Linked DNA regions of Saccharomyces cerevisiae S288C. Changing the gene in region 4 together with the main gene of any one other region gives a genetic interaction. Each region holds a gene or a part of one and is shown on either strand. Other genes may lie near its edges.

Region 1 (7,020 bases), on a different chromosome or scaffold from region 4:
AGCTTGGAAGCTGGGACTACCTATCAAATCAACTTTTAGAATTTCACCCTGTACAGTTCCCACGTATATTTGCAGATCGGTATTGTCGATGAAATTGCAGCACAATAACGGATGTTTATATCGTAGCGATTGTAAAAGGTCAACATTCTTTGCTTGAATGTCGAATTTGTAGACTGTTAAAGAGCCATCCCAAGACGTAATCAAAAGCAGTGACTTGGAAGGGATTATTTTGATGTCGCTTATGTAGTCTTTTGGGGCCTGCTCAATTTGTACTATCTGCATGCCGCGACTGTTGTGTTTTCGTGTTGCAGATATCAGATAGCTTTTCTTTCGCGATGTGATATTTTTTTCGTTCACTATTTTTTGTATTCTCGGACATGCAGATCTCCGTTGGTATATGTATGAGTATATAAATGGAAGATAAATTAAACGGATGATATATTATGCAAAGGGGTGTCTGCCTCGATTATTTATCGTTAACTCAATTTTAATAGTTAAGTTTATGAGGCTTGGTTGTCACCGAAAGTTGGTCGTATCTTAGCGCGTTTTCTTGTATCCAAGTTTTCCTCTTCGTCTTCCTCACTGGAGTTTTCTGGTGACAGTATTTTTCTCTTAACTGTGTTTAACGACTTTATTTTTGTATTCAATTCGTTGTTTCCTTGAATATCAATCCCCTGGGCAGTTCGTAGAGGGGTTGTTGGGGGGGTTCCGATTGAGTCTTTTTGGGCCTTCATTTGCTTTCTCAAGTCGCTCGCCTCCCTTTTTAACTGTCTTAACTTCTTAATTTGATCTTGCGTCTTGAAGAAATCTGGTATTTGGGATTCAAGAAATGTGACCCAATTATCACAATCTGAGTGGATTTGGTAGTCTATAATGCCGTGCCAAGAGGATTCGCCAATGGGTGTCTTGTTTACGAGAATGATCAGGCCGCCACGATCGTGAATTTTCTTACTTAATTTTTTTACCAGTTGTTTCACACCATCAACTTTCAAACTTGTACCCATGATGATCAAAAAATCAGGATTGCCTTTAATTATGTCAAGATTTAGGCCTTGCGTAATAATTTCACAGGATGGATGGTTTTCACCATACAGGACGATATTAGGTCTTAGAATACCCACATTAGAACCAAGAGTTCGCTTTCCTTCATTCAATCTCTTGTTGATAAGTGCTTCGCAATCCGGACACAATGGTAACTCACCTCTTCTTAGACAACGAGACCAGTACCTGCTCCAGGGAAAAGTCTGGAAGCACTTTGTACACGAAAGAGTTTTCAGGTCGCCGTGCAACTGAACGACATCCAGATTTTTCCAATGTGAACTAAATGAGGTAAGCGGTAATTTCCTATTTGATAAAGTAAGTCCTATGCTTTCTTCGAGCCCATCGATGTTTTGCGTGTAACAGCGCAGCAGTTTGTTCCTATCTTTTAGATGCGCAATGAACTTGTGCGTCTTAGTCGGCTTTGCCAATTGAACATTTGAATAGAGCCTCTCCATAAATTTAGCAAAAATGGATATTTTGAAGTCATCTCTAAATAGCGAAATATCAAACATTTCCCTGCCGGACTTGATAGACCAATACTGTGAACAATCCTTTTTCACTAGGTCGTAGAGCCCATCAGAAGAGCGAAAGTCAGGAATGCCCGCGTTGCACGAAATGCCTGCCCCAGTCAGACAAGCAATTCTCCTAGATCTGCTCAACTGCTTGGTTACGCGCCGGAGAACTTCATCGTCGGCATCAAGACCTATAATATGTGCCAGTTTCTCAGTCTGCAAAGAGGACGGTAAGTCGGAGCACATTGAGCCCGATCGACTGGCAGGTGGCGAGGGCGATACTGAAGTCATTTTTGAGAAAGATGGATCTAGTTGTATGTAAATTAATCCCTTCAGTTTTTACACCACTAACCACGTATTTGCCCTTGCTTGTGTTATATATAAGACGTACGCCAGATATAGTTCTCTGGCACGAATAACATTGCTTGCTTTTATTGACGTTTTACCCTTTGTGGTAACAGCAAACATAAACGTCGTTCGTGATGTTGAGTTACTTATTGTTACCCGCAATTGAGGGATACCCGCCACAGAAACACATGCAGTGCATTTGCCACTGTGCATAGCCGTAGGAAGAGGGAAAAACGAACAGGGAAGAAGCAGGAAGAGCAGACAGCAAGAACCCGTGCTAAGGAAGGTGATGAACTTTGGCCACTGAAGGCGCATTTTACCTCTGAAGGATCCCGTTTCCACATTTGTAAGCTAGTGTTCGTTCATATAAACACCCTGATCTTCGGCATTTCACTACTCTTCGGGCTCACGCTTCTCATCCAACACTTTGTGTATATGTCCATCTCCTCATGATGAGTCCCGCCCAAGATAAACTGCAGCACCAGCATCATAATCCTAATTCTTCCTCATCGTCATCCTCTAAGATGACGAACGTTTATCAGGTTACCACGCCAAAGTCTCCTCAGGATTTGGAAAACAACATGGATGAGCCCTTCAAAATGGACACCGCCACCAGTAATCCGGACAAGGATAGCGAAAATACCCAGCGGTTGAAGTACGAATGTGCCAAAGGGGAAATACAGAATGTTTTGAACCTACATATAATGCTAAACCACAAGCATGTTAGGCACTTACGAAGAAATGTTCAAAAGGTTAACGCAAAACTAGCTCTCTTGGAAACCCTGCATAAGGATACTGGTCTATTGAACAAAATCGAACGGACGTATCAACTCAAAATAAAACAACATCAGCAGCATAGCGTGCTCGGCGGCCACTTTCACGACAGTACGGCTACGGAAAATACGAACGCATCAAATTATAACCTGTCATACCCGGTTCTATCGGATTATAACATCAACTGTCAGCCTTTGTCTTCGAGCAGCAACAGAAATCTGTCAACAACACGCATACCACACCACCATTATCATACTAGAAGCAAGAGTAACGGGCTTTTGCTAGAACCTTCTGCCCTCCGTCCGGCAAATTCGAATATAATTGATTACAGGCTAACAGGTTCTAAATCTCTATCAGAAGCCATAACCAAGCCCACTCCCGTCTCGCTTCCTCACTCTAATTCGGATGGCATTTCTTCACCTCGTTCCTCCTCAATCTCCCCCTTAGACGAGCAGCCGGGGTTCCAGATACTCCCTTTTAAACCAAGTCAGATGCATCTTAACCACAGACGTAATTACAGTAGCACTTGTTTGACGAGCAATAGCGGTATCATCGGTAAGACTGAAAATAATGAGCCCATTTTTAGAAGATATGACGGCATTTTGGTTATAATTACGTGCTCCAAATGTGACCGTTCCGGTTTCACTTCCGCGCAAGGTATCGTGAACCATACTCGACTAAAACATTCTAAACTATATTCAAGCCAACCATTGGCAGTTTTAAACAACCAAAAACTACTTCCTAATGATAAGCAGGATCCGGAAATTTTATCTAAGTTCAAGAAACTAAATTTGGACCCAAACAAAGACTACCTACCCTCTGACATTGCAATCCCAAAACCACAATCACCAATCAACCACTCCGAGAACCATACGCGGGCTCCAAAGACTGTCAAGAACACTCCTCATTTAGAAAAACTATACCAAAATAAAGAAGACTTCAAAAAACTGATTGACATGGTTAATGAAACTCCGGATGATTTGAATGAATATTTGAAGCAACGTGAAATTCAATTAAGATATCAAAAGGAGCAAGAAGAGGAATCTTCCAAATCTGATGACGAAGCTTCTTACGTCCCATCACCGTCTCTCTCAGCAACGGCTACAACAACAACGACTACGGACCCACCCTCTCCGCCAGTGCTATCCTCCTCCTTACAAAGAAAATTGCTGCGTAAGAGAAAACTGAGCTTGAATAGCTCTACTCCCATGGAAGATTTACCTTTAAGAGAAAGGTTGAGAGCAAATCCCACTGACAAGAAACCAAGAAAAGCGGCCCTTTTGACTAATGAACTTGAGGGTCCTGATCCTGCAGCAAAATCATCATCTTATTACAATCTAAGGTCGAAATCAAGACTGCGTGGTTCTCATACATAGTACACACATATAAATAAGTAAATTACGTAATATAATATTCTGTTGGTTTTCTGACCTAATTTGTCGCTTTGGAAGAAAAAGTGGATTGTATTTTTTTGCATATTCCCTAATATTGAAGATCACTGAATATACTCACAGTGAACAATTACTTGAAATGCTACGGTTTACTCATCGAGGCCTTCCCTCCAGCACTCGTTTTAGAAACATTTTCGTAAGGTTAAATCACATTTATGTACCATGGTTCTATGCCATAGACGTACCCAACTCCAAACCCTATTTACCCACATATCAAACTTTACACTCACCCAAAAAGTTTAAGCCGTTCTCCGTTGATGATTCTAATCGTTTGGAAAAGGCCAGTAAGCGTCAAGAACGCAGGCCTGTTTTAGTCAACGAAGATTACCTGTTTAAAGTCGACCTCTCTCACATGGAATTGTCCCCTACCTATTGGGAAGGCCCTACTTATCAAGTACGAAGAGGTGTGTGGTTCGACTCTTCAAATCAACCTTTGTCCAGTGATCTTACCTCCGAAATTGAAGGGTTGTATAAGCAGCTCAAATTCGACGACAGTAATGATGATCCGACCACGACACCTCCTGCAGAATCGCAAGATATATTTAGGCTCAAAGGTAAATACCCAGTCGATAAAGAAAACGAAGGAGAGCAAAAAAATGGATCCAGCAATAAAGATGAGAACGAATCTACTTTCAAGTTTATTTTGTTTGCCAATAAACAAACTGCATTTTTACTATCGGATTTAGATGGAGGAAAACTGCAATTAGCCTTTCTAAGGTCTAATCTGGCTCAATCCTTACCGATTAATGCTACAATGATTACAAGATCATACAAATATTCATCCTCCGCAACTACTAAACAGACATCCACATCTTTTAAGGCAGCAAAAACGCCTCAAACGGAAGTAGCAGATGGTAGTAACAGTTCCAAATCGAGGAGCATTGAAACAAAGTTAGAAAAGAAAGTTTCAAACCTCTTCAATTTATCGGACTTTTTACAGTTGTTCAATGGTAATGCTAGTAAAGATCAAGATGATGCACAGAGCTTGGAAAAGCAAATGGAAACAGACTATAACAATGCAGATAACAGTCAAGGCGCTAATGCTAGTAGCAAAATAGAAGATGGCAAAAATTCGGGCGCAAGCGATAGACAAATTAGAAGTAACAGAAGAGATGTGGATAACTTGATACTATGCGTTCACGGTATAGGTCAGACTTTGGGTAAGAAGTACGAATACGTAAATTTCGCACACACGGTAAATCTACTTAGGTCTAATATGAAAAAAATCTACAATAATTCTGAGAAACTACAATCATTAAACACAGCACCTGATTATAAAAGCAACTGTAACGTTCAAGTGCTACCCATCACCTGGAGGCACTCGATAAGTTTCCAAACGGATGCTAAGGAGGAAAATATAGAAAATCCTGACCTACCGACTTTGTCACAAGTCACAGTAAATGGAGTGTTACCCTTGAGGAAGCTACTGGCTGACGGTCTACTAGATATTTTGTTGTATGTCGAACCATACTACCAAGATATGATTCTACAACAAGTAACCTCTCAATTGAACAAAACATATCGGATTTTTAAAGAATTTAATCCAGAGTTTGATGGGAAAGTCCATTTAGTGGGCCATTCGTTGGGTAGTATGATATTATTTGATATTCTATCCAAACAAAAAAAATATGAATTAGAATTTCAAGTAGACAACCTGTTCTTTATTGGCTCACCAATTGGATTGTTAAAGTTAATTCAAAGAACAAAAATTGGTGACCGTCCCGAATTTCCCAATGACTTGGAGAGAAAATTAACCGTACAGAGACCGCAATGTAAGGACATTTATAATGTTTACCACGTCTGTGATCCCATTTCTTATAGGATGGAACCTCTTGTTAGTAAAGAAATGGCTCATTACGAACAAACTTATTTACCACATTGTAGTGAAGCTTATGGACTAACTTCTAAAGTTTTGGAATTTGGCGAAAACATATGGAAAGATTTGCCAGGTACTGATGAAAATAATTTGCAGTCCAAAAAAACTTCTCCAGAAAAAAAAGAGGTCAAGTTATCAGAAAATCTTACGAGAATGCTTACAGGTTTGAATTACACCGGACGTCTAGATTATGCTATGTCTCCAAGTCTGCTAGAAGTGGATTTTATATCAGCTATAAAATCACATGTTTCTTATTTCGAAGAACCGGATATTGCAGCGTTTATCCTAAAAGAAATTTTAAGTAAACATGAAAATGCATCAGAAATATATGTAAAAAGAAAGACTGGTTGATCAGTAAACGCAAGGCACAAGTTTTTTTTAACTTTTTTCTTTACTGTCTATTATAGTTCCACTGTGTAAGGTTGTATTCTTTCCGTACTTCAACTTGCGGGTAACAGGATTGACACCTTTTCAATTTTTTCCGTTATTTTGGATTAGAAATTTTCGGTAAGCTCATCGAGTATTGTAAAAGAGCAATGCCCTTTGCTTATTAGATGTTGAGGGGCATATCTATTGTTAATATAGATTGATACAGCTGTGGAGATTATTTCTAGATATACGATGAAGTACATTATTGAGCATATGGAGGAAGGGTTTAGTGAATGGGTCATTTTAGAGTATAGCCAAATCCTGAGAGAAGTAGGAGCTGAAAACTTGATTTTATCATCGTTACCAGAGAGTACCACGGAAAAGGACATCCCTCAAAGGCTACTAAAACTTGGTTTAAGATGGACTACAAAGGATTTGAAGGGCATTAACGAAGATTTCAAGGATTTGGAACTGTTAAAAGATGGCAGAGTCTGTCTATTGGACCCTAGGGCTACAATCGATTTACAGCCGGAGGATGCTACGAAATTCGACTATTTCGTATTTGGTGGCATATTGGGTGATCATCCTCCAAGAGATCGTACCAAAGAACTAAAGACTGCCTATCCGAATCTTTTAATTAGCAGAAGAC
Region 2 (3,461 bases), on a different chromosome or scaffold from region 4:
CATTGCATCCGGTCGAGATGAAGGCAGCTTTGAAGCTGAAGTTTTGCAGAACACCGCTATTCTCCATCTATGATCAGTCCACGTCTCCATATCTCTTGCACTGTTTCGAACTGTTGAACTTGACCTCCAGATCGTTTGCTGCTGTGATCAGAGAGCTGCATCCAGAATTGAGAAACTGTGTTACTCTCTTTTATTTGATTTTAAGGGCTTTGGATACCATCGAAGACGATATGTCCATCGAACACGATTTGAAAATTGACTTGTTGCGTCACTTCCACGAGAAATTGTTGTTAACTAAATGGAGTTTCGACGGAAATGCCCCCGATGTGAAGGACAGAGCCGTTTTGACAGATTTCGAATCGATTCTTATTGAATTCCACAAATTGAAACCAGAATATCAAGAAGTCATCAAGGAGATCACCGAGAAAATGGGTAATGGTATGGCCGACTACATCTTAGATGAAAATTACAACTTGAATGGGTTGCAAACCGTCCACGACTACGACGTGTACTGTCACTACGTAGCTGGTTTGGTCGGTGATGGTTTGACCCGTTTGATTGTCATTGCCAAGTTTGCCAACGAATCTTTGTATTCTAATGAGCAATTGTATGAAAGCATGGGTCTTTTCCTACAAAAAACCAACATCATCAGAGATTACAATGAAGATTTGGTCGATGGTAGATCCTTCTGGCCCAAGGAAATCTGGTCACAATACGCTCCTCAGTTGAAGGACTTCATGAAACCTGAAAACGAACAACTGGGGTTGGACTGTATAAACCACCTCGTCTTAAACGCATTGAGTCATGTTATCGATGTGTTGACTTATTTGGCCGGTATCCACGAGCAATCCACTTTCCAATTTTGTGCCATTCCCCAAGTTATGGCCATTGCAACCTTGGCTTTGGTATTCAACAACCGTGAAGTGCTACATGGCAATGTAAAGATTCGTAAGGGTACTACCTGCTATTTAATTTTGAAATCAAGGACTTTGCGTGGCTGTGTCGAGATTTTTGACTATTACTTACGTGATATCAAATCTAAATTGGCTGTGCAAGATCCAAATTTCTTAAAATTGAACATTCAAATCTCCAAGATCGAACAGTTTATGGAAGAAATGTACCAGGATAAATTACCTCCTAACGTGAAGCCAAATGAAACTCCAATTTTCTTGAAAGTTAAAGAAAGATCCAGATACGATGATGAATTGGTTCCAACCCAACAAGAAGAAGAGTACAAGTTCAATATGGTTTTATCTATCATCTTGTCCGTTCTTCTTGGGTTTTATTATATATACACTTTACACAGAGCGTGAAGTCTGCGCCAAATAACATAAACAAACAACTCCGAACAATAACTAAGTACTTACATAATAGGTAGAGGCCTATCCTTAAAGATAACCTTATATTTCATTACATCAACTAATTCGACCTTATTATCTTTCGAATTGAAATGCATTATACCCATCGGTACGTCTAGCTTTGTCACCTTCCCCAGTAAACGCTGTTTCTTGCCGACAAACAATGTGGCCCTCTCTCCGTCAATCTGTAACGACCCAAATCGTATTAAAGTTTCGCCGTCCTGTTCACTGAACCTTCCCTCATTTGGAGAATCTCTCCTCGCCAGCGACGCAAAGTCCTTAGGCAACTCTAGTTCACCTTGAATCTCCAGCATCATCATCCCAAGCGGTGTTATCACCGTGGTCTGCTTTTCTCTTGACTGTGTCAACTTCTGCCATTGACTAGCATCTATATCTACACTAGGCATTCTTTTCAGCTGTTTATTGGGCTGAATGATAGTGATAATTCTTTTTTCTATCACTCCTTTGGCTATATTAGTGGTTAGCTTACTAAAAAAGATTAAAGGAAAAATGAAATTCAAGATGCTAACGTTGACATGTATATTTTAAGAAAACAAAAATCATACAAAGAGGAGATCGGATATAAAAGAATAACATAAATATGTTTAGTGCATTAGGTAAATGGGTCCGAGGCTCTCGCAATGATAAGGACTTTGTGACGAAGTATACCGCAGATTTATCACAAATAACTTCACAGATCCATCAATTAGATGTCGCGTTAAAGAAAAGCCAATCCATCTTGAGTCAATGGCAATCAAATCTGACCTTTTATGGTATTGCGTTAACGGTATTGGCCCTGAGCTACACATATTGGGAGTACCATGGTTATCGACCATACCTTGTGGTGACTGCGCTACTATGCATAGGCTCGCTAATCTTGTTCAAATGGGCATTAACCAAACTCTATGCATTTTATAACAACAATAGGTTACGCAAGTTGGCAAAACTCCGTGCAATTCATCAAAAGAAACTGGAAAAGTTAAAGGAAGAGACCCACTATAATGCTACAAGCTCAATCATCCAACGGTTTTCTTCCGGTGAAGATCAAAACGACGATGCCATGGTACTTCTAGATGATGAATTAAATGCTAAATACCAAGAATTAAACAATCTAAAGACAGAGCTAGAAAAATTTAAGAAGGAAAGCCATGTAAAGGGCCTAAAGAAGGAAGACAGCGATGCATGGTTCGACAAAATCATCAGCGTACTGGCAGGCGGTAATGAATTGGACTCAACAAGTTCGCTCTCTCCCTTCAAAAAAATCATATGTCCACAGTGTCATTGGAAATCCAATTGCTACAGATTGGCCAGTAAGCCAATCATCTTTATCTGTCCTCACTGTAACCACAAAATAGACGAAGTAAAGGAAAGAGAAGACGCCATTGAAGCAAAACAACCGGCACAGCCTTCGCAGTCGGAGAAGGAAAAAACAAAATGATTTTGCGTTAGAATAACTACGTACCCCTATATAATATATTTTTATATCATTATTTAGACAAGGACATGATAGCGTTGACTAAGTCACCATTGTGAGCTTTCAGGGCTTTGATGGCTTGGTTTTTGGAAACGTTAGTTTGTTGAACGACTAACTCGATATCATCCTTATTCAAGTCACCGGCATCAACTTCACCTTCTTCGTCATCTTCTTCTGCTGCGGCGTTGACACTGCCTTCTGCGGCGGCTTGCATGTCAGCTTGGATGTCTTCTGGGGACTTGGTAGCGACGTCTTCGTTAGATGGCATAATACCGCTAGCTTGAGCTTGTTGTTGAGCAGCGGCTAGCTTTTGGGTAAAGTTGTCAACCTTAGCTTCACCGAAGACAACGTAGTTACCACCGGCAGATCTGAAGACTTCTGGCTTTTCAATAGCATAGATTTGGTTGTCCTTCTTCCTGAAAGTGACTCTGATGATACCTGGGATTTGCTTCAAACCCAATTTGCCAATCAATTCTCTGGCTTTCTTTTCGTTCTTGTTTAAGACGGTAACGTTGGCGTTTTCTGGGATAGCAGACATTATCAATTGAGTATGTGGGTGTGTGGTTGCTTGTAAGGGTTGCTCCCAGAAGGAGACTTTACCTTAGTTCTTGTTTAAAATAATCCTTTTC
Region 3 (9,433 bases), on a different chromosome or scaffold from region 4:
AAGCCGTAACGGAGATGGAAACAGCTATAAATACCATGAAGACAGAGAATTTAATATGCCTTTCGCCTTCTGTTTTGTTTGCATAAGTGTGAAATAAAGGAATCGCCAGCAGACAACCAAAACCGAATGGCACTGCTAAAGTGACTATACCTATCACGAGTGCTTTCTTTAGGTGTTTCTTGATGAAAGCAATATCCACTTCTAAACCTAAAAAAAACATAAACAGTATTATTCCCAAATTCGCCACTAAATTTAGCCCCGGGATCGATGATGTAGGGAAAATTGTGTTTGTATAGTTTGGAATTTGACCAAATATAGTAGGCCCCAAAATAACACCAGATATAACTTCTGAAATGACTTTAGGCTGCCTCATCATTGAAAAGGGAATGTGAATTAAATTGCATACCAGTAGTATGAGACATGCTTGAAAGAGAAATAATGTAAGCGGCGAACTGGAGTTGTAGTGGAACGGATTTACACCCGACAGAATTCCTCCTACAGTGTTTGCCATTTGATAGAATATAAATAATACAACTTCGTAATAATAATAATCGTTGGTATCATTTGATGTGTGCTTTAGCAACAAGAGATGATATAATAAGCGAACAGTTTTTGTTTTTTATTTTCCCTTACTGGAGCTCAGCCACATTAATGCGAGACGCAACGGGTGCATAATATTGAAAGCGCATTTACAGCAGAAAAATGCTTTCAGTATTTATTTTGAGATGCTGAATATAAATATTTAGAGAATACATCCGTAGTAGTCTACAGTAAGATATAAATCAATGCTTCGGGTGTTTGTATATCAAAGTGTCTTTCTATGCTCACCCAAAAATTTTCTTTTGCTTATAACTTTATAAAGCTCTTCGTCTTCTACTAGATTACCAACTAATTCTTCTATGTTCTTGAAAAGCATCATAAAAGCAAAATGAGGTTCATTTAACGGGAACTTGAGGGGCGTATCAGGTGATATCCAAAATTCGGGTCCGCGTGTGTACTCCTCAATATCTGTAATGTTCCTCAAATGTAGTTTATGAATGTACGACCAGTCGGAAAAACTAAGTGTGTAATCTTTATCCGCCAGACATATCCGATGTAGTTTTTTGACGGCTTTAAGTAGCTCTTGCAAGTTCCTTAAATTACAGGTCCCCGAGTCCTGTAGTGCATATTCAGCAGAAGAAACATATTCTAGAGGAAGTATTCCCTCTGGGCTAGATGCTTTTGATAATGAAGAAAATGATTCTTGCAGGCTTGCAGGAGGGGATGTCACTCCAGAATCATTCTCTTCTGAATTATTATCGTTGAATTCAGAAATTTGACTGGATTGTGAGCTCGTTGTATTTTCTTCCAGATCACCATCAGCTGTGTCAGATTCTTCGAAAATTTCTCCAGTGTTCACCATAAAGGAAAGTGCTCTTTGACGCCCATTAAAAACGATGGACTTGACTTTATTATTGAATGATTCACCGATCTTAATATCCAGAGAAGTGGAAATGTCAAACAACAGATCACCGACTGTAGATAGGATAGCCCCCATTAATGGCACGGCTCCCAACGCCCAAATCACAAAAAAAGCACGGCCTGCACCAGTCCTTGGAGCATAGTCTCCGTATCCAATGGTTAATAAGCACAAGAAACAAAAGTAAATACAATTGAAGTACGACCAATTTTCTGCGAATTTGAATACAAGAGCTCCCAATAACCAAAAAGCCATGAAAATTGCAATAGTCACCGACAAAGAAAACCAATGCTGCTTCCTTGAGGCCGTTTGTCGGATACACTTCATTAAGTCGAACGCTTCCCTTTCAGATAAATTTTTACTACTATCCATATAATGTTTCCACGATTTGGACCTGCCTTTTTCAACTCTGTGGAAAAAGAAAATTGGGCCAGAGGACTTTTGAATGATGGATCTTGTCATAAACACTATTAAACCCATCAAGACAACACCAGATAGCGAAAAGATTAAAACCATGATTTTGGCGCCAACCGACTTGGGCAGGATGTCACCTAGTCCCACGGTTAATAATGATACCGTGCAGAAATATAATGCATTTCCGTAAGTGATGTGCAATAAACCGCTAAACATACCCGCACCCCAAATCAACCATAAAGACAATAGTACAGTGTATGCCATGATACTTCTTTCATTGGGCAAAAGGTTGAACGTTGGAGGATATTTTCCTAATTTATATCCAATAAAATGTATTGTTAAAATAATGGTGCATACCAAATATAGACCAGAACTGATACAGGCAAACCAAAATCCGATAGTCTTACTGTAGATGCTGGGCATGTCATTCAAGGAGCATACAATCACGTCCACCAAAAGCATCCCTCCAGCTATTGTCCATCCTGTTATATTTATTAACTGAGATTTAAGATACGTCAACTTCTTACTGAAATGTAGCATTAGTATAATATTTGACGTAAAACCCAGTACCAAAGAGATGATATTAACGGCAAAAATACCAGGAGGATCAAAAACTGTCTTTACTTGATTCATCAAAACATCGGTGTCATTGCTTCGTGGATTTGTCACCACGGAGTTGTTCTTTAAGGATCTCCATTTTTCAACTACACAGGCTATCGAGATAGTGTTAGCTACGGGACCCAAGCAGGCAGTAATCACAGGGAAATAGCATGAAACCACAAACCAAAAGACGAACAGTGTTGAAGAAGGCTCTGCATTAATAATACTAACTCTTTCGTCCCGGAACCGCAATGCATCCTTTAGTTCCTCTGCAAGAACACCCTTAGCTTGCTTCGGTGTGTTGTTTGAATGAGAATCAACAGCCTGAGCTGAGCTCTCTTGCTCCACTGTCGCCATATTGCCATATCCCAGCGTTTGTTTGGCAAAGCTGTTCATGAACCTTGTCATATATATAGAAATCGGTAAAATAAATACAAGAAATATGCTTTGTTATACTGCTAGAAAGGAGTGAAGACATCTGCTCACGATCTACGAGATGCGGCTATTTTTGATGGAAAAAGATACATAGGGTCAGGCATTTTTGCCATATTGAATAACCAAGATGGTACTGAGTACTCAGGTAATGTATATTACATTGAGTACTTCACTTGTATACACAACCACTGCTTCGTATTGTATATCAAGTATCTAACTGTTGATAAACTACAACTTTCTCTTCAACCATAATGATAGCGCCGCTTAAAACATGCTAGGGTAACGAGACGCGAATGCGAAAAACTCCCAAAAAAACCAAAACAAACAAAAGTGACAACAATTAGAACGATGCTGAAGAAGAATAGGAGCGAGTTTAGAGTTACCTCCAGCTATCCTGATACTACTGCTTAGGCTACCTTCGCAGAGTCTCGATAAATTTGCAGTCGGCAAGATAAGAATATTTCTCTACAGCTTTTAGACAGCTTCCTGTCCCTCTAGTTTCTTTTGCCATCCATAATTGTACTCTGCACTTTGAGTATCATTCCAATTTGATCTTTCTTCTACCGGTACTTAGGGATAGCAAATGTCGTCGAACAATGATCTTTGGTTGCATTTAGTATCCCAGTTAAATACTCAACAGAGAGCAGCGGCCCTCTTTGATTACACTAGAGGGCTGCAGGTCATTGCCGGTCCCGGCACAGGGAAGACTAAGGTTTTAACTTCAAGAGTAGCGTATCTTATTCTGCACCACCATATTCATCCCCGCGATATTATAGTGACTACTTTCACTAACAAAGCTGCTAACGAAATGAAAGAGCGTTTGCAAGAAATGTTACGCGGGGCAGGCGTGAATATTTCGGAGCTCTTAATTGGTACTTTTCATAGTATTTGCCTGAAAATACTTTATAGATTTGGCCACTTGGTGGATCTACAGAAAGACTGGAGAATTATTGATGAGAAGGAAATAGATGTCATTTTAGATGATATGATCGAAAAAGTTCCCGACCAAATAAGGGATTATGCTTCCTCAATCACAAGGAAAGTAAATCTTTGTATGCCGAGTAAAAATGGAGATGAATGGACTATTCATCCGAAGCTGATCAAGAAACAGATATCAAAGCTAAAATCAAACGCAATATTACCTGAGGAATACATCTTAGATTCGAATCATGACGCCGCGCTTGGTTACTTTTACCAAATATACCAATCAGAGCTAAGCAAGAAAAATACGTTAGATTTTGATGACTTATTAATGTACACCTTTCGTTTGCTGACTAGAGTGCGTGTTTTATCCAACATAAAGCATGTTTTAGTTGACGAATTTCAAGATACTAACGGCATTCAATTGGACTTGATGTTTCTTTTTGCTAAGGGAAATCATCATCTTTCGAGGGGGATGACCATCGTAGGTGATCCTGATCAAAGCATATATGCTTTCAGAAACGCCTTAGCGCACAACTTTCTAGAAATGGGCAGAAAATGTCCCATCGAGTACTCAACTATCATACTTGTTGAAAATTATCGTTCATCACAAAAAATTCTAAATACAAGCGAAATTTTAATAACGCAACAAAACAAAGGTCGGCAGAATAGGGCTCCACTCCGTGCCCAATTTGACCTGGATTTTCCACCAGTTTACATGAATTTCCCCGCTTACTTTTTGGAAGCACCTTCTTTAGTTCGGGAACTACTATATTTGAAGGCATTGCCAAACCTATTCACATTTAATGACTTTGCTATCCTAGTAAGACAACGAAGACAAATTAAAAGGATCGAAAGTGCATTAATAGAACATCGGATACCCTATAAAATTATTAGGGGCCACAGTTTCTGGGATTCCAAGGAAACAAGAGCGATGTTAAATTTATTAAAATTGATATTTTCTCCGAATGACAAACATGCAATTCTTGCTTCACTTTTATATCCAGCAAGGGGCCTTGGTCCTGCTACCGGTGAGAAGATTAAGAACGCATTGGACACGTTAGCTACCGATGTGTCATGTTTCCAAATATTGAAAGACATAAGTAGTAAAAAAATAATGCTAGACATACCGACGAAAGGCCGTTCTGTGATTGCTGACTTCATTTCAATGATAGAAAATTGTCAATTGTTGCTCCAGAGCACTTTACTAGGGGGTCTTTCAGATTTATTTGATAAGCTATATGAATTATCAGGTCTGAAATACGAATACTTGTACAAGGATGGTAAGAAAAAAAATGATCAGCTTGAAAAATCCGAACCTAATTTATTAAACGCAAGACATAAGAATATTGAACTTTTGAAAAACTATTTCCTGGCTCTTCTTTCCAAGTCAGAATCTTCAGATAAAGAAAAAAATGAAGCCATTAAAGCAGCAACAGATGAAGCCGAACCAATAGAGAACAAGGTCATCACTCCAAAAGAATACCTCCGTAATTTCTTCAATTCACTTTCCCTTCATTCTGATGCAGCTGAGGAGGAAGAGTCGGAATCCAATAAAGATGCAAAAATAAAACGTGAGAAGAATGGGTTTGTCACGATATCTACAATTCACGGTGCCAAAGGTCTTGAGTGGCCGGTAGTTTTTATTCCTGGATGCGAAGAAGGTATAATTCCTTGTGTGTTCAACGATGATAAGAAAGACGAATCAGAGGAGGACGAAGAAGAAGATCAAGAAAATAGTAAGAAAGATGCAAGCCCAAAAAAGACTAGAGTTTTATCCGTGGAAGATTCTATAGATGAGGAAAGAAGAATGTTTTTTGTTGCACAGACTCGTGCAAAATACCTGTTGTACCTATCAAATACTGTAACTGTGGAAGATGTCGATAGACCAAGAATTGCAAGCCGATTTTTGACTACTGACTTGATAAAAGCCATGTCCGATAGCCAAAAATTATTTGAAAGTACGAATAGTATCAAAAAACTATACCGAATTTTGAACAAAAAGCCGCCTGCTGAAGATGATAAACTATTCTCCCTTGACCAATTGCGCAAAGACTATAACCAATTCATTGAAAATAGGAGAGAAAGGATGATTTGGCAAGGGATACAAATGAATGATGTCTATGGAATACAGTTGTCTAGAAATAAATTATTGGGTTCTGTTAGTGATTTCACGTCAGCTGCGGACCAGTTACGACTCGAAACGCAAAACTCTATATTCCCACAGAAGAAACTTATTGAAAAATCACGCCCATCCAAAATCAATGGCAATTACGCTCCTAAAAGTAGAGTTAAAAGTCCAGAAAAAAGGTACGCTCCAGAAACTACATCATTCCATTCTCCTACAAAGAAAAAGGTGTATGCACCTCAATACGTTTCAACAACTAATGTACCTAGTAGGCAGGAGTTTCATTCTTCTACTGGGAAAAATATTCCTTTTCTGAGAAGAGAAGATAGGTCCATCACAGACATATCACCACGATCATCAACGAGGTCGTTAAAAGGAGCATCTCCAAATAAGACGAGCCACATGTCAGATGATTTAATGAGACCATCACCTACGAGGAAGGACAAAGTTACTCGTAATATTCATTTCGCAACTGCAGGAACTTTCAGAATAGAAACCCAGTCAAATGTTGATGAACTGCATCCTCCGGAATACTCCAATAAATCAGGGCAGTCGCTTACGTCGAGTGAATTTTCTGGGTTTTCTAGCGCGTGCAGTAATTCTGATCAGCCAACGAACTTAATAGAAGATATAAACAACGAATTAGATCTATCCGATGAGGAGTTATTAAATGACATATCAATAGAAAGGAGGAGAGAGCTTTTGGGCTCGAAAAAGACGAAAAAAATAAAACCAAAAACTCGAAATAGAAAGTCTAAGAGAGGTGACAAGGTTAAGGTGGAGGAAGTGATAGATTTGAAGAGTGAATTTGAGGAAGATGACAGCAGAAATACAACAGCTGCTGAGTTATTACATAATCCGGATGACACTACAGTTGACAATCGTCCAATAATCTCCAATGCTAAGTTTTTGGCTGACGCAGCAATGAAAAAGACACAGAAATTTTCCAAAAAGGTGAAGAATGAACCTGCATCAAGTCAAATGGATATATTTTCTCAGCTGTCACGTGCGAAAAAAAAGTCAAAATTAAACAACGGTGAAATCATAGTCATCGATTAGTAGCACTTTCATGCCTGACTACGTCAACTATTGGAGGCGGTTTATAATTTTTATTTAAAGCACATAGGAGTTAATTTTATTTTACTGGTAGGGTTTGTATACGAACTACATGGAAATGTGGATGGTGTGTTATTATAGCTTAATGAATATTCTTTTTCTATACAAGAAAACCGATATGACAGCTATGAATGAGCAGTATGCCAACAAAACCAGGAATGATTTTAAGGGTGAAGAATCTATCGTGACCATAGACATATTGACTAAACCAGTAGAGACATTTGCCAACAAAAATAAAAACAACCCATTGGAGTTGATTGATTCCAAGCATTCGGCAACTTTATAATATTCCGAAGAATTACCGAAAATTTTGTCAGTCAAGCAGTACCCAGTCAAAAATAGTAAATTATAAGTAATGACCCACAAAGTATATGGTAAGTTAGCAAACCTTCTTGAAACACTATAAGGATGGTATTGAAAAACCAACTGGCTGATAACAAGAAAAATTGTACTCCATATACAGAGGCCACTTAATGGGGTTACTGAAGTCCAATAGTCCCAAGTCGAAGACTTCTTTGATGCTGCAACTACGTCTTGCGTAGAAGGCTTATAAAGATTGTTTAAAGTTGGTTTATTTCCCAACAAGTAAAATCCCGTGTTTTGGCCCCAAAGAAAAATCGAGCAATAACCTAGAAATGAGAAGATGCCTTCTCTATTAGCACTGAAGAAACAATTTCTATCAGCCAAAATTAAAAAGTTTAAAGTGCGATCGTCCTTTAAAAGTAGCCATTCATAAATGCATGAAATGAATATTGCAATTGAGCAGCGTGGAACCATTCTTGTGACGGGATCAATAAAGGTCAATACAAGTGGCAACAATGATAGGGTGATAAAAAAATTCCAATGAACCCCATATTCTGTGACATGTTCTTGATATTCCAAATTTTTTACAAAAAACAACCTCAGCAATCCTAGGAACAATAGAGTTCCTCCTGATTTTAAGGCATTAAATGCATTTTTTAAGAAGCTGGGTTTACTCTTCAAGCTTAGGTTTTTCAACAGTGCCCTAGAAGAAACAATACCGTTACTGAAAACGAATGATCCTACACCAAGATCCATCAGGGATGTCCCCCAAGTTTCCACCTTGGCAAACCTCCTTGGGAAAATTGGAAAATCTACAGCCAAGATGGCAATAGCAGTCAGAATAAGCATCCCACCACGATACGCAGTAATATACGGCTTTTTTTCTAGTTGGAACCGCTGTGTAATCATTTTTTTTTTATTGTATATTGGATTAGAAGGTTTACTCGAGCTAGTAAATTTTCCATATATGAATGCGAGCAAACAAGGTAACAGTATTAGCGTGTTTAGAAGGTATGGTTCACTAGCATAAATAGTAATAGATAGAAGCAAAGCAACCCAGTTCAATGCAAAATCAATTATGTATTGCACGCTGGAAATGCCAGGAGGCATAAGGTTGGAATTTTTCAATAAGTTCCATGATATGTAAGTTACCAAAGCAATTGATGTCACTGCGTTAATTTCTGTTATAGAACCGCCATTGAGCCCTGTCACAAAGTCCTCTTTTCTCTGTTTTAAAGTCGACATATTCTTCTGATGTACTGTTGCCATTTATTTAGATATTTACGTGTCTTCTTATTGCGATCCTCTTTTTCTCATGCTGTTTTTTCACGCGAGCATGTCATGGAAAGTATTATCATACAAAACGGTAATACATATAGATGAGTAGATTTGAATAATGCTGTAGATGGCGTATGTAAATGAATATCTTATAAAATTACGGACTACATTTCAAGAATCTAATTCCTTTGTCTGATTTCTTGTCTGTCGTCTCATAGGTTTTTCTAAAGAGGCAGTACGTTTCTTATCTTGAATGGAGCCATAGGTAACTTGAGTATGTGAAACTTCCTCAGTTCTTGGGATCTCTTCTGGATTAGAAATTGCAGTCGGCTGCTCTGTAGGCACATTTTCTGACATTATTGTGCCCCAACTCGTGGTTCGTTTAATTTGTTTAGGAACGAAATTTTTTGGCAGTGACTCCAACTTGATCCTTTTCGTATCCGGCATTTGTCTCTCTGAAGAAACATCCATGATACTCGATGAGACACTACGCTTTTTTCTTCCAGAATCAGTTTCTCTAATTTTCTGCAATAATTCGTTTTTGGTATCTTTCATAGAGTGCTCCGATAATGAGGAATTGTTTCTTTTCAAAAGAATAGTTTTGTCGATTTTTGGATCATTGTTTTGGTACTTTTTTTCTGAACTAATGCTGGTATAGTATGGTTTTTTTATCTTACATTTAAAATCGTCCTTGTGTCCTCTTGGGCAGATAATACACCACTTGATATTGTTTAAAAAGATTTCATTATTTTCTCCAGATGCAGCGGACAATAATTTAA
Region 4 (9,440 bases):
TCCCTGTCTACGCAATTGATCGAGAGCGTGGATAAACAGTCACACTTAGAAGAACAGCTTAATAAATCCTTAAAAACAATAGCCAGCCAGAAGGCAGCAATTGAAAACTATAATCAGTTGAAAGAAGATTACAACACTTTAAAAAGAGAATTGTCAGACAGAGATGACGAAGTGAAAAGATTGCGTGAAGATATAGCCAAAGAAAATGAGCTTCGAACTAAAGCTGAAGAGGAAGCGGATAAACTAAATAAAGAAGTTGAGGATCTGACTGCTTCCCTCTTTGATGAGGCTAATAATATGGTTGCTGATGCTAGAAAGGAGAAATATGCTATCGAAATCTTAAATAAGAGACTCACTGAACAACTGCGTGAAAAGGACACATTACTGGATACTTTGACCCTACAGCTCAAGAATCTGAAAAAAGTGATGCATAGTTTAGATAATGAAAGCACAGTCACAAATAATTCGAACAGATATTCCACAATATTGAGTGATTCAGCAACTTCTTCTAGCACTTCTTTGAATAAAGTTCCAACTTCATATTCTCTTGCTTCCCAAGATATTTATAGCGGAATTGTGTACTCGCCAAGCATTTCATCTATTCGTTATGATATAAGCCTTTACAATGAATTTCTAAAATTTGTCGCTGCACTACCCCGTTGTGAAAACATAAAGGCAACTTCAACCGAATCAAAGTTAATACGAAGATTGGTAAATGATGAAATCCAGCCTATACTTAAGATTGATAATGCTTCAGGCATCGGCTGGTTGGTTAAAAAAACCCTACTTTCCTTGATTATAGATGGTTTGGTGGTCGTGGAACCCCTAAGCGGCGTTAATGCAACCTACCAAATTGGCTACAACTCAAGTAGCCCTGCAAAGCAAGCCACTTCGAATATGCCAAAAATGTTCAAGTTTCCCTTAGATTCACCTCCAGTTGCAGTGCACGCCGCATGTTCCTTTTGTGGAGAATCTAGAGATGACATTATCGAACACGCAAGGATGTATATATTGAAAACGTTGCACAAGACTGACGACGGTAAAGAACAAGTTACGAATACGTATCCCTTGTGTCATTGGTGTTTGCTAAAGTTGCGGCAGACATGTGAAATCTTTGCTTTCCTGAGATCATTGAAGGTAGGCGCATGGCATTTAGAAAAGCTAACGACGCAGAACATTACCAAGGAAGATTTGGAAAAATTCTCTGAAGTAACGAAGCATACCAAAAGAGACGGCAGGGTTTCTTCTCAAGACAAAAAAACCAAACGTTTAAGTTTTATGGCAGGACTTGGTATCAATTCTTCAACAAAAAATAAGCCAAAGATGGAGATTTTTTCTTCTGAAACAAATGCAAAGCCAGGACAACCTACCACTAATATTCAAAGAGCATGGCTGCAATTGTGTAAATTGCGTTGTATACTTCATTGGACTCATATTGGCATATGGGCAGTGGATGATTCAATTTCTTCAAAAATTGGACCGTTAGTTGAGGATGACAGCGATGAGGATCAAAACGATGCTATATCGGTTCGCTTGCAGGACAAAGCTCTTTGGAAGCAGGACGCAAAAAGACCTTTTTCTTCATCTAGCGCAGAAGAAAGTCAAAAGAGCGACGCTTTTGACTTTGAAAGTGGAGATATGGAAAATGAAATTACGGGTGAATCTTCAAGTGATGAATCCTCTTCAGATGGGTCTTCCACAGATAATTCAACCGCAGATAGTTCATCAGAAGATGAATCTTCTCTAGCAGATTCTACTACAAGTAGCGCAGATTCTAGTTCACCAGAGAGTATAGACAACGGTGAAGGTGATGACACGGTAACGAAAGATGACAAAAGTAGCATTAAGTCGGCAAATAATAATGAAGAAAACAGCGATTGCGGAGATAAAAAAGGTCGTTCTATAATAAAGAAAAAGGCTCCTCAACGCAAGATACAAAAGAAGAAGTTACTCCAAGATTTGGATGATTTAGAAGAGCAATTTAGAGAAGAAAGCGCAATTGATCAGACTGAATTTGAAAACGCTGAGTCTAATGTAAAACAAAATATATCCTCGAAGAGGGCATCTTCTGGAGACGAGAACTCTAAGAAGGATAATAATGAAAAAACTTTAAAGACAAACTTGACGATAGGCGACAAAACCCAAGAACAAATAGGGGAAAATAGTCCTAGTAGCGGATTGCATGCGTCTTCAAGCAATGATGACAATTTCGATGATGCCCAGGAACAGCAATAAATTATATAATATTTAATTTTATGTGTCCTAATGGACATTTGAGTTCCTTAAGATGTTCAACAACTTAGAAAAATATAGGTAATGATAAAGAATGAATCGCATGTATTGTTTTAATATTATGTCAATACTTTGAACTTAAAAACAGAGTAAAGAAGTGGTTCTAAAATTACACGTATTAAAGGGATTAATTACTACATATTCATTCTCAATCATCACTATCACCTTGGCTCAAAACAACTCTAGACTTTTTGCCAAAAAGGCGGATGGCCTCTTCATCTTCATCGCTTTCATCGGCTGCACTCGCTTCCAAAGAACGCTTTGTAGATTCTTTTCTGCTATACACCTCAGATTGGAACATATTTTGCGAATTTGATGGCTGTGATGAGCCCAAACTATTTCTTGATTCCGAGTTGACATCGTCATCAGAGAGTTGATTATTATTGTTATTATTTACATCGAAAATAGACATTTCAGATGCCACGTGGCTTGCTAAAGAAATGAGGCTTTTATCTGGCGCAAAGGAACTACTTTCTGTAGCTCTTATGCTTTCAATACTTGGTATGGATCCACCAAACAAGCTCGTATAATCTCCTGTCACAACACCCCCATTATTCATCCTTTCCGCGGCAAATTTGGCAAACTGGATATATCTATCCTCGGTCAACTGACCATTGTTTTTATCTAGTAACCATCTCATATATGTTTCGTTTTCAAAAAATATAGGGTTCATCAAATCCTCGTCATCTTCTGAATCACTAATAAACTCTTTACTGAATACGCCATGGCGTTCTCTAACGGTCTGAGGTCGTTCATCATCCTGGTCGCCAAACATTGGCAAATTAGTCTTGGCTTCTCCTTTCCTACGCTTCCTCTTATCTTTTTTTTTGGATCTCGCAATCCCTTTACTGAATTTGGTACCTTTAAGTTTATCTGATGCATTGTTATCTAAATCCTTGAAGTATGCTGCGTCGCTTTTCGATAAAATTTGATCATCTGGAACAATGTAGGGATCGTTGTAATCATAATCATCGTCTCCTTCCCATCCATCTTGTTCATTGTGAGAAAAACTATCCTTTTCTGAACGAACTCGTAGAAGATAGGAAGAAGAAGGCAGTCCGTTTGGAGTTTCAAATGGTGTTGATAAGTATTTTTTCACTAGTTCACAAGAAACAGTCAGGTCAGAAACTTCAACAGTCCCCGGTAAAAAACAAGGTTCATTGATTTTACGTGGAATGGAGTATCCTATCAGCAACAATAAAGCCCTGTAGTCCTTATCTTTAAAAATAGGGTCGTTGTTGAGTACACCTGTCAATGTGAAATATTCATTGGGTGGATTAACTGTTTCTTTCCCAGCATTAACATTTACGGTTAGCCACGACTTAAAAATATCTAGTGTGTGGGTTATATGCTTGAGCAGTTGGTCCAATAGTTCAGTTTTTCCATCATCAAGTAATGTGGAAACTAAAACACCATATTTCATATCCAACAAAATCGAAGGTGGTAAGGCTTCTTCATCGGGAATTGGTTTGAACTGTGATGCAGGAGCGGCATACATTGATTCATTATTAAGTACATTATATTCACCATATCTTTGGTAAAATCCTACTTCACTATTGTGTAATGGCGGGAAAAGTAATCCAACAAACCAAGCAGGTGATTTCTTTAACCTTTTCTTCAACCTGGCGAGGAAGTAGTCTGAAAATTGACTCACATATTTCCTTGAACGAGACATTCTATCTAATCCGTCAGGTGAAAGCATTTCTCTTAATAATATTATCAAATCAAATCTAAATAACAATGCCTGTTCTTTTGCCTGAACAAATACTCTATGGAAAAAGGAAAATACTTTTTTAATGGAATCGTCCTCAAGCTCACGAAATCTTTCAAGGAAATTAATGTACGTTTCTATTACCGGTTCTGTCATATAGTTGGCTTGCACCTTTTGAAAATTGACTTCTATACTTCTTAAAGAAGAGGTTAGAATATCAAGCGCTTCATCTCTATCTACATTTTCTTCTTCTATCAATTTAGTAATATCACCTTCTGAAATATTAAACTTTTTTTGCCGTCTTGATTTGCCTTCAATAACTAATGTTTTATCGTCAGAGTATTGCTCTAATACTTTCAATACCGAGTGTGTTAGTTCAATGCAACTTTTCATGAATTGGAGGGAGTATTTGGAACCAATCTTCGGCAGATTTGACAGTAATTGTATTCTCTCGTCACTGAAAAGCCTACTTACAATGAATTCTATATCGGTCGAATCCTCTTCTTGAGCGGCCTTTGTACGGGAAACGAGGTTCAACAGTTCATTAAATGCAATCATACCAGCATGTGTCACTGTCCAATTTTTCAGGTCATATGCGCTTCTTAAAAGAGAAGACACTAGAATGAAAGTCACCTCTTTCAAGGCTTCTGAAACTTGCTTTATATCTGCGGAATTGTCGATTTTGGACCTCAACAACTGGTATTTAACAAACCATGCAAAGAAAAGTAAATATTCGACTTGCTCCAAAGTTACCATCCTATCCTGCTCAGTTGTGAAGTAGTTCGTCACACTATGCAACAAGATGTTAAAGCCGGAATCTATAAAGTTGTTGATGAATTCTTTGAAATGTTTACCATTTGATTCGGTGAAAAAAATAGCTTTACCGGTTTGTGAATTCAAGAGACTATTCGGTAAGCCCTCAGCTGCGACAGATTGATGCTTTTTAATTATTCTTTTATTCCATTTTTTGCTGTCATCTAGTTTTTGGAGCGCTATTTTTTCATCTACGAGAGCTTGGCTACCAGAAACAGTTAACCTAGTTTTATCTGGTGTTTGTATAGATAAAAGACCACCAAATCTGGAGTGTCTTGCAGATGTATGCTTGATAACGTTTTTTCTCATTTGGTGTTCCTTTTGTAATAACTTCGATAGTTCAAAACCTGCACTTGTAACAATGTTATTAGCAGAGGAGCTCTCATTTTTATTTACCACCTTTGAATGTGTCCCGGTTTCGAACTGTCGAGGGAATAGCAGTTCTTGGTTAACATCTTTAGTGAAGTAGAACATAATCTCCAACAGTGGGATATTGATAAAGTCCTGGTCAAACTCTTTTGATAAGGAGCTGGTCAGCGTTAAGAGGAAACCGAATACCTTGTTTTTATGGAATGAGGAAATAACCGTATTTAAAGAGATGTCATCCATAGAGACGTTTGGTGGCAAAGTATCGATAGATGTGATACCTTTCTTAGGCATGCTTTTCTTAGTATTGATAGTAAATTCACCGGGTTCTATAGCAATGACATTTCTGAAAAAATTCAAAACCAATTTGAGAACCATATTGTCCCTAGGAGTTCTTGATAATCGGTCGATTTTGATAACATCCAGAGCCAATCTAATGGCAGCTCTTAACACTTTACCACTTTCCATAGACAGAATCGTTTTCTTGTATACCAATTGATGCTTCTTTAGCTCACCATAGAGAGTAATTTGATTTGATGAAGACTGTTCAGTTACAATTAAAGGCCAAGTCATAAGGACCAATAGTTGTAGACAATTTAGCGCAATTTTATCGTAATAAGCTTTGTTTCTAAACTCTTCATGGTCTGGGTTGTTCTTTGCAAGCTTTGCTGCAAGAGAACATTTGTTTTCCCAATCTATCAGAATAGGTAACAGATCATCCGTCAAGATGCGATATTCAGCTACTGCCATTGCCACATCCCATCTTTTCTGCTGGTCATCCACTAGTTTAAACCATCTTTTCAGATCTTTTAAGCACGCCAAACAGTCATCGCCAAGCTTATAAGGGGGTGGGTCTATCTGGGAAGTATAATCCGGCCCACCGATGGCAGTTGCCAATAAAGCAATTCTTGCTCTAAGTACCGTCAGAGAGAAATCAGCCGCATTTGTAGTGCCTTGTTGCAAATCAGCAGACATAGTGTGCGCCCTCCTATATTAAAGATACACTAAACCCCACAAGCTAGATGGTATTATCATATGTGAGGCGACTTACGAACCATATCTCATTTGAAAAATCCTTAATACTCATTTTAATTTTTCATCGTAAACGCGTAATGCGGCAGTAAACGCGTCAAAGTAGCATAATGGAAGGGCCATTTCCACAGGGAAGCAATTCATACAGGGCACTACCCAGTTGTGATAGTAACACAGAACAGCTTCCTAAAGCAAACGGTAGGGATGCCTATATACAGGACAACTACTGGTTATTTCGCTGACTTGATATGAGAAGTGGCAGTGAAAACCAGCGTTATGAACGGTGAAACCGAGCGGGGATGGATGAAAAGTACGTATAACTCTGTATACACCTCACTTGGCTTCATAATGTGGTTCCGCCATCTGATTGCGTTGCTGTGGTCTTCAGAATTCCTGAAGGACGACGCAATTAGCTCTAGAGCTTCTCCAGGCATTTATTACGTAGGACCGAGAGCGGACTTAAAATCTGCAAAAGTCTTGGCAGGGGGCGGGGATAACAAGGCAATCTTATCCCATTTTTCACTAATCTCGAGCATATAAAAAGTAAATTCTATTGGCCTTGTTGTTACGTTAGGGAAATCCTTCTACATGATTATTGCTCTACAATACCGAAGTATTAACAATACATAAACGAGCAAGAAGAGGAGAAGAGAATATGAGTAAGAAACCAATTGTTTTGAAATTAGGAAAGGATGCCTTTGGTGACCAAGCCTGGGGGGAATTGGAAAAGATTGCGGATGTAATTACCATCCCTGAATCCACCACTAGAGAACAGTTTTTGCGGGAGGTAAAAGACCCACAAAATAAGCTCTCCCAAGTACAAGTCATTACTAGAACAGCAAGGAGTGTGAAAAACACCGGTAGATTTGATGAAGAGCTTGCTCTTGCTTTGCCCTCCTCCGTAGTGGCTGTATGTCATACTGGTGCTGGTTATGACCAAATTGATGTTGAGCCATTCAAGAAAAGGCACATCCAGGTTGCCAATGTTCCTGATTTAGTTAGCAATGCTACCGCTGATACGCATGTATTTTTGCTATTGGGTGCCCTAAGAAACTTCGGTATTGGTAACAGAAGGTTGATCGAGGGAAACTGGCCGGAGGCAGGACCCGCATGTGGTTCTCCCTTTGGATACGACCCTGAAGGGAAAACAGTTGGTATACTGGGTCTAGGTAGGATTGGTCGTTGTATTTTAGAGAGATTGAAGCCGTTTGGGTTCGAGAATTTCATATATCATAACAGACACCAGCTTCCTTCCGAAGAAGAGCATGGTTGTGAATATGTAGGATTCGAGGAGTTTTTGAAGCGTTCTGATATAGTATCTGTAAACGTCCCACTGAACCACAATACTCACCATCTAATCAATGCAGAGACTATTGAAAAAATGAAAGATGGTGTAGTTATTGTTAACACAGCGCGTGGTGCCGTGATAGACGAACAAGCCATGACTGATGCTTTGCGTTCTGGAAAGATTAGAAGTGCTGGTTTGGACGTTTTCGAATATGAGCCAAAAATATCCAAAGAGTTATTATCGATGTCCCAAGTCTTAGGACTGCCTCATATGGGCACACATAGTGTAGAAACAAGAAAGAAAATGGAAGAACTGGTCGTTGAAAATGCAAAGAATGTGATATTGACCGGGAAAGTCTTGACTATTGTTCCGGAATTACAAAATGAAGACTGGCCCAATGAATCTAAGCCATTAGTTTGACTACAAGATCCATAGTTTTATTCTTCCTTTCGAAATGCGATAATATTATTATACTTCTTATATATGCAATTAATTTCTATATATTACAAGTGGTTGACTTTTGTACATCCTAACTGCGTTTAGTCTTCATGCTTATCACAGAACTTTGCATCACGAATATTTTCCAATAACAAATTTTTAATGGTAAATTTTTGTGCCACATTAGTATCGAGAATCTTTAATTCTTCAGTCGGGAAAATATAAGCAAACGAGAAAGAAACTAACACACTTAAAAGCAATACTAAGGGAAAGCCGATGGCCGCTATAGTATTTGTGATAGCAAATTCACCAGCAAACCCCGTCAGGCTAAAGGAAAGAAATATCAGCATTGACTTCTTGGATACTTTCATTAAAGGTGAAGTATTATCTCTTCTGTTAGGGTCTGAAAACAGGAAAACCAACCGTTGTATAATACTATTTGTCATTAGGCCATTGATGCCCATAATGAAAAACAATCCGGAAAGTACTGCCTGAGGGATTTCTCCTAAGCATACCAATAACGGTCTTGTCATTGTCCCTAGAATCATCAGGCCCTGAAACGTATTTGTAAATCTTTGCTCTACGCAACTGATAACCTTTTGGTTTGAATCCCTAACTAGCAGTGTCTCTGTGTGCAATGGTGCTTGAGGAATCAAACCATTGGGCGCCGGGATTCCTAGAACCCCGCTGATGCAAGTGGTAAGTCCCAATAGTGCGAAATCGTAATGAAAAGAGGATGGTTTTTTCAGCTTATACTGATGCCTTTGTGCCATTAGCGACGATACGTTATGATCAAAGTAAAACAAGATTGTTAAAAATATACCAAATGGTAGGGCAATAAAGACGTCTTTAACAGGAATCGGTTCATATGCCAGCCAAGTATTTTGAGGCCTATTGACTTTGGAAGTAGGAAAAAAAGCTTTCGTAATAGGCAATTTTTTAAATTTGACATCATGCAAGTAGCCACCAAAATGTGTAAATGATGACCAGAATAGCACTGAAAGCGCAGTTGAATAATCAGATATGAATGTTCTGATCCTATGAGAAAAGAGGGGGTAATAATGAAATAATTTAAAGAAAAGACCAAACGCAGTCATAACCAGCGCCACCACGACACTAGCAAATCCGTCTTGTACTGATTTCTCCCCTGATTTAGCACTGAACTGTCTTGTTAAAATTTGTATTCCTTTTTGAATGTAGACCACATTAATAAATAATCCAAATATGTCACATGGGAACGTAGTCACGTATTGCAAGAGGCAAACGGCGTTCGTAAATGCTAAAACTAAATGAAAAATCATAGACCACATACAAATCCAAAACATGAAGCCAAAATAGCTGGTATTCAAAGGCTTTATAATTTCGTAGACCGTATAATTAAAAATAGAGATGGGGCCAGTAACACCCACTATACATAAGGGCTGTCCACCAAGAACTCCAAAAACAATTCCAGCCATTGCACTGGATAGAAGTACTTCGTTCACACCATAGGAATTATCA

Evidence for each region.
Region 1: mutations in TOF1 (region 4) and HST3 together harm fitness more than expected from each alone (negative genetic interaction), as found in Saccharomyces cerevisiae (7 studies listed by BioGRID, with this or other methods).
Region 2: mutations in TOF1 (region 4) and CTF8 together harm fitness more than expected from each alone (negative genetic interaction), as found in Saccharomyces cerevisiae (9 studies listed by BioGRID, with this or other methods).
Region 3: mutations in TOF1 (region 4) and SRS2 are lethal when combined (synthetic lethality), as found in Saccharomyces cerevisiae (7 studies listed by BioGRID, with this or other methods).

Annotation. Positions count from the first base shown.
Region 1 is NC_001147.6:373,043-380,062, reverse strand, and holds HST3 (NAD-dependent histone deacetylase HST3), read right to left. Parts: upstream 1,845-7,020; coding exon 501-1,844; downstream 1-500. Other genes in the region: BUB3 (Bub3p), read right to left, coding at 1-282; AHC1 (Ahc1p), read left to right, coding at 2,351-4,051; DDL1 (putative carboxylic ester hydrolase), read left to right, coding at 4,206-6,353; protein-arginine N-methyltransferase SFM1, read left to right, coding at 6,624-7,020. UniProt on the Saccharomyces cerevisiae protein: NAD-dependent histone deacetylase, which contributes together with HST4 to histone H3 'Lys-56' deacetylation, regulation of telomeric silencing, proper cell cycle progression, DNA damage control, DNA recombination, and genomic maintenance.
Region 2 is NC_001140.6:484,867-488,327, forward strand, and holds CTF8 (Ctf8p), read right to left. Parts: upstream 1,766-3,461; coding exon 1,364-1,765; downstream 1-1,363. Other genes in the region: ERG9 (bifunctional farnesyl-diphosphate farnesyltransferase/squalene synthase), read left to right, coding at 1-1,313; LNP1 (Lnp1p), read left to right, coding at 1,960-2,796; EGD2 (Egd2p), read right to left, coding at 2,846-3,370. UniProt on the Saccharomyces cerevisiae protein: Essential for the fidelity of chromosome transmission. Required for the DNA replication block checkpoint.
Region 3 is NC_001142.9:253,932-263,364, forward strand, and holds SRS2 (DNA helicase SRS2), read left to right. Parts: upstream 1-3,491; coding exon 3,492-7,016; downstream 7,017-9,433. Other genes in the region: KHA1 (Kha1p), read right to left, coding at 1-511; TOK1 (Tok1p), read right to left, coding at 806-2,881; GWT1 (glucosaminyl-phosphotidylinositol O-acyltransferase), read right to left, coding at 7,149-8,621; protein kinase activating protein DPB11, read right to left, coding at 8,826-9,433. UniProt on the Saccharomyces cerevisiae protein: ATP-dependent DNA helicase involved in DNA repair at least for UV-induced lesions. The polarity of the helicase activity was determined to be 3' to 5'.
Region 4 is NC_001146.8:119,600-129,039, reverse strand, and holds TOF1 (Tof1p), read right to left. Parts: upstream 6,158-9,440; coding exon 2,441-6,157; downstream 1-2,440. Other genes in the region: guanine nucleotide exchange factor SEC2, read left to right, coding at 1-2,235; GOR1 (glyoxylate reductase), read left to right, coding at 6,870-7,922; BOR1 (Bor1p), read right to left, coding at 8,042-9,440. UniProt on the Saccharomyces cerevisiae protein: Forms a fork protection complex (FPC) with CSM3 and which is required for chromosome segregation during meiosis and DNA damage repair. FPC coordinates leading and lagging strand synthesis and moves with the replication fork.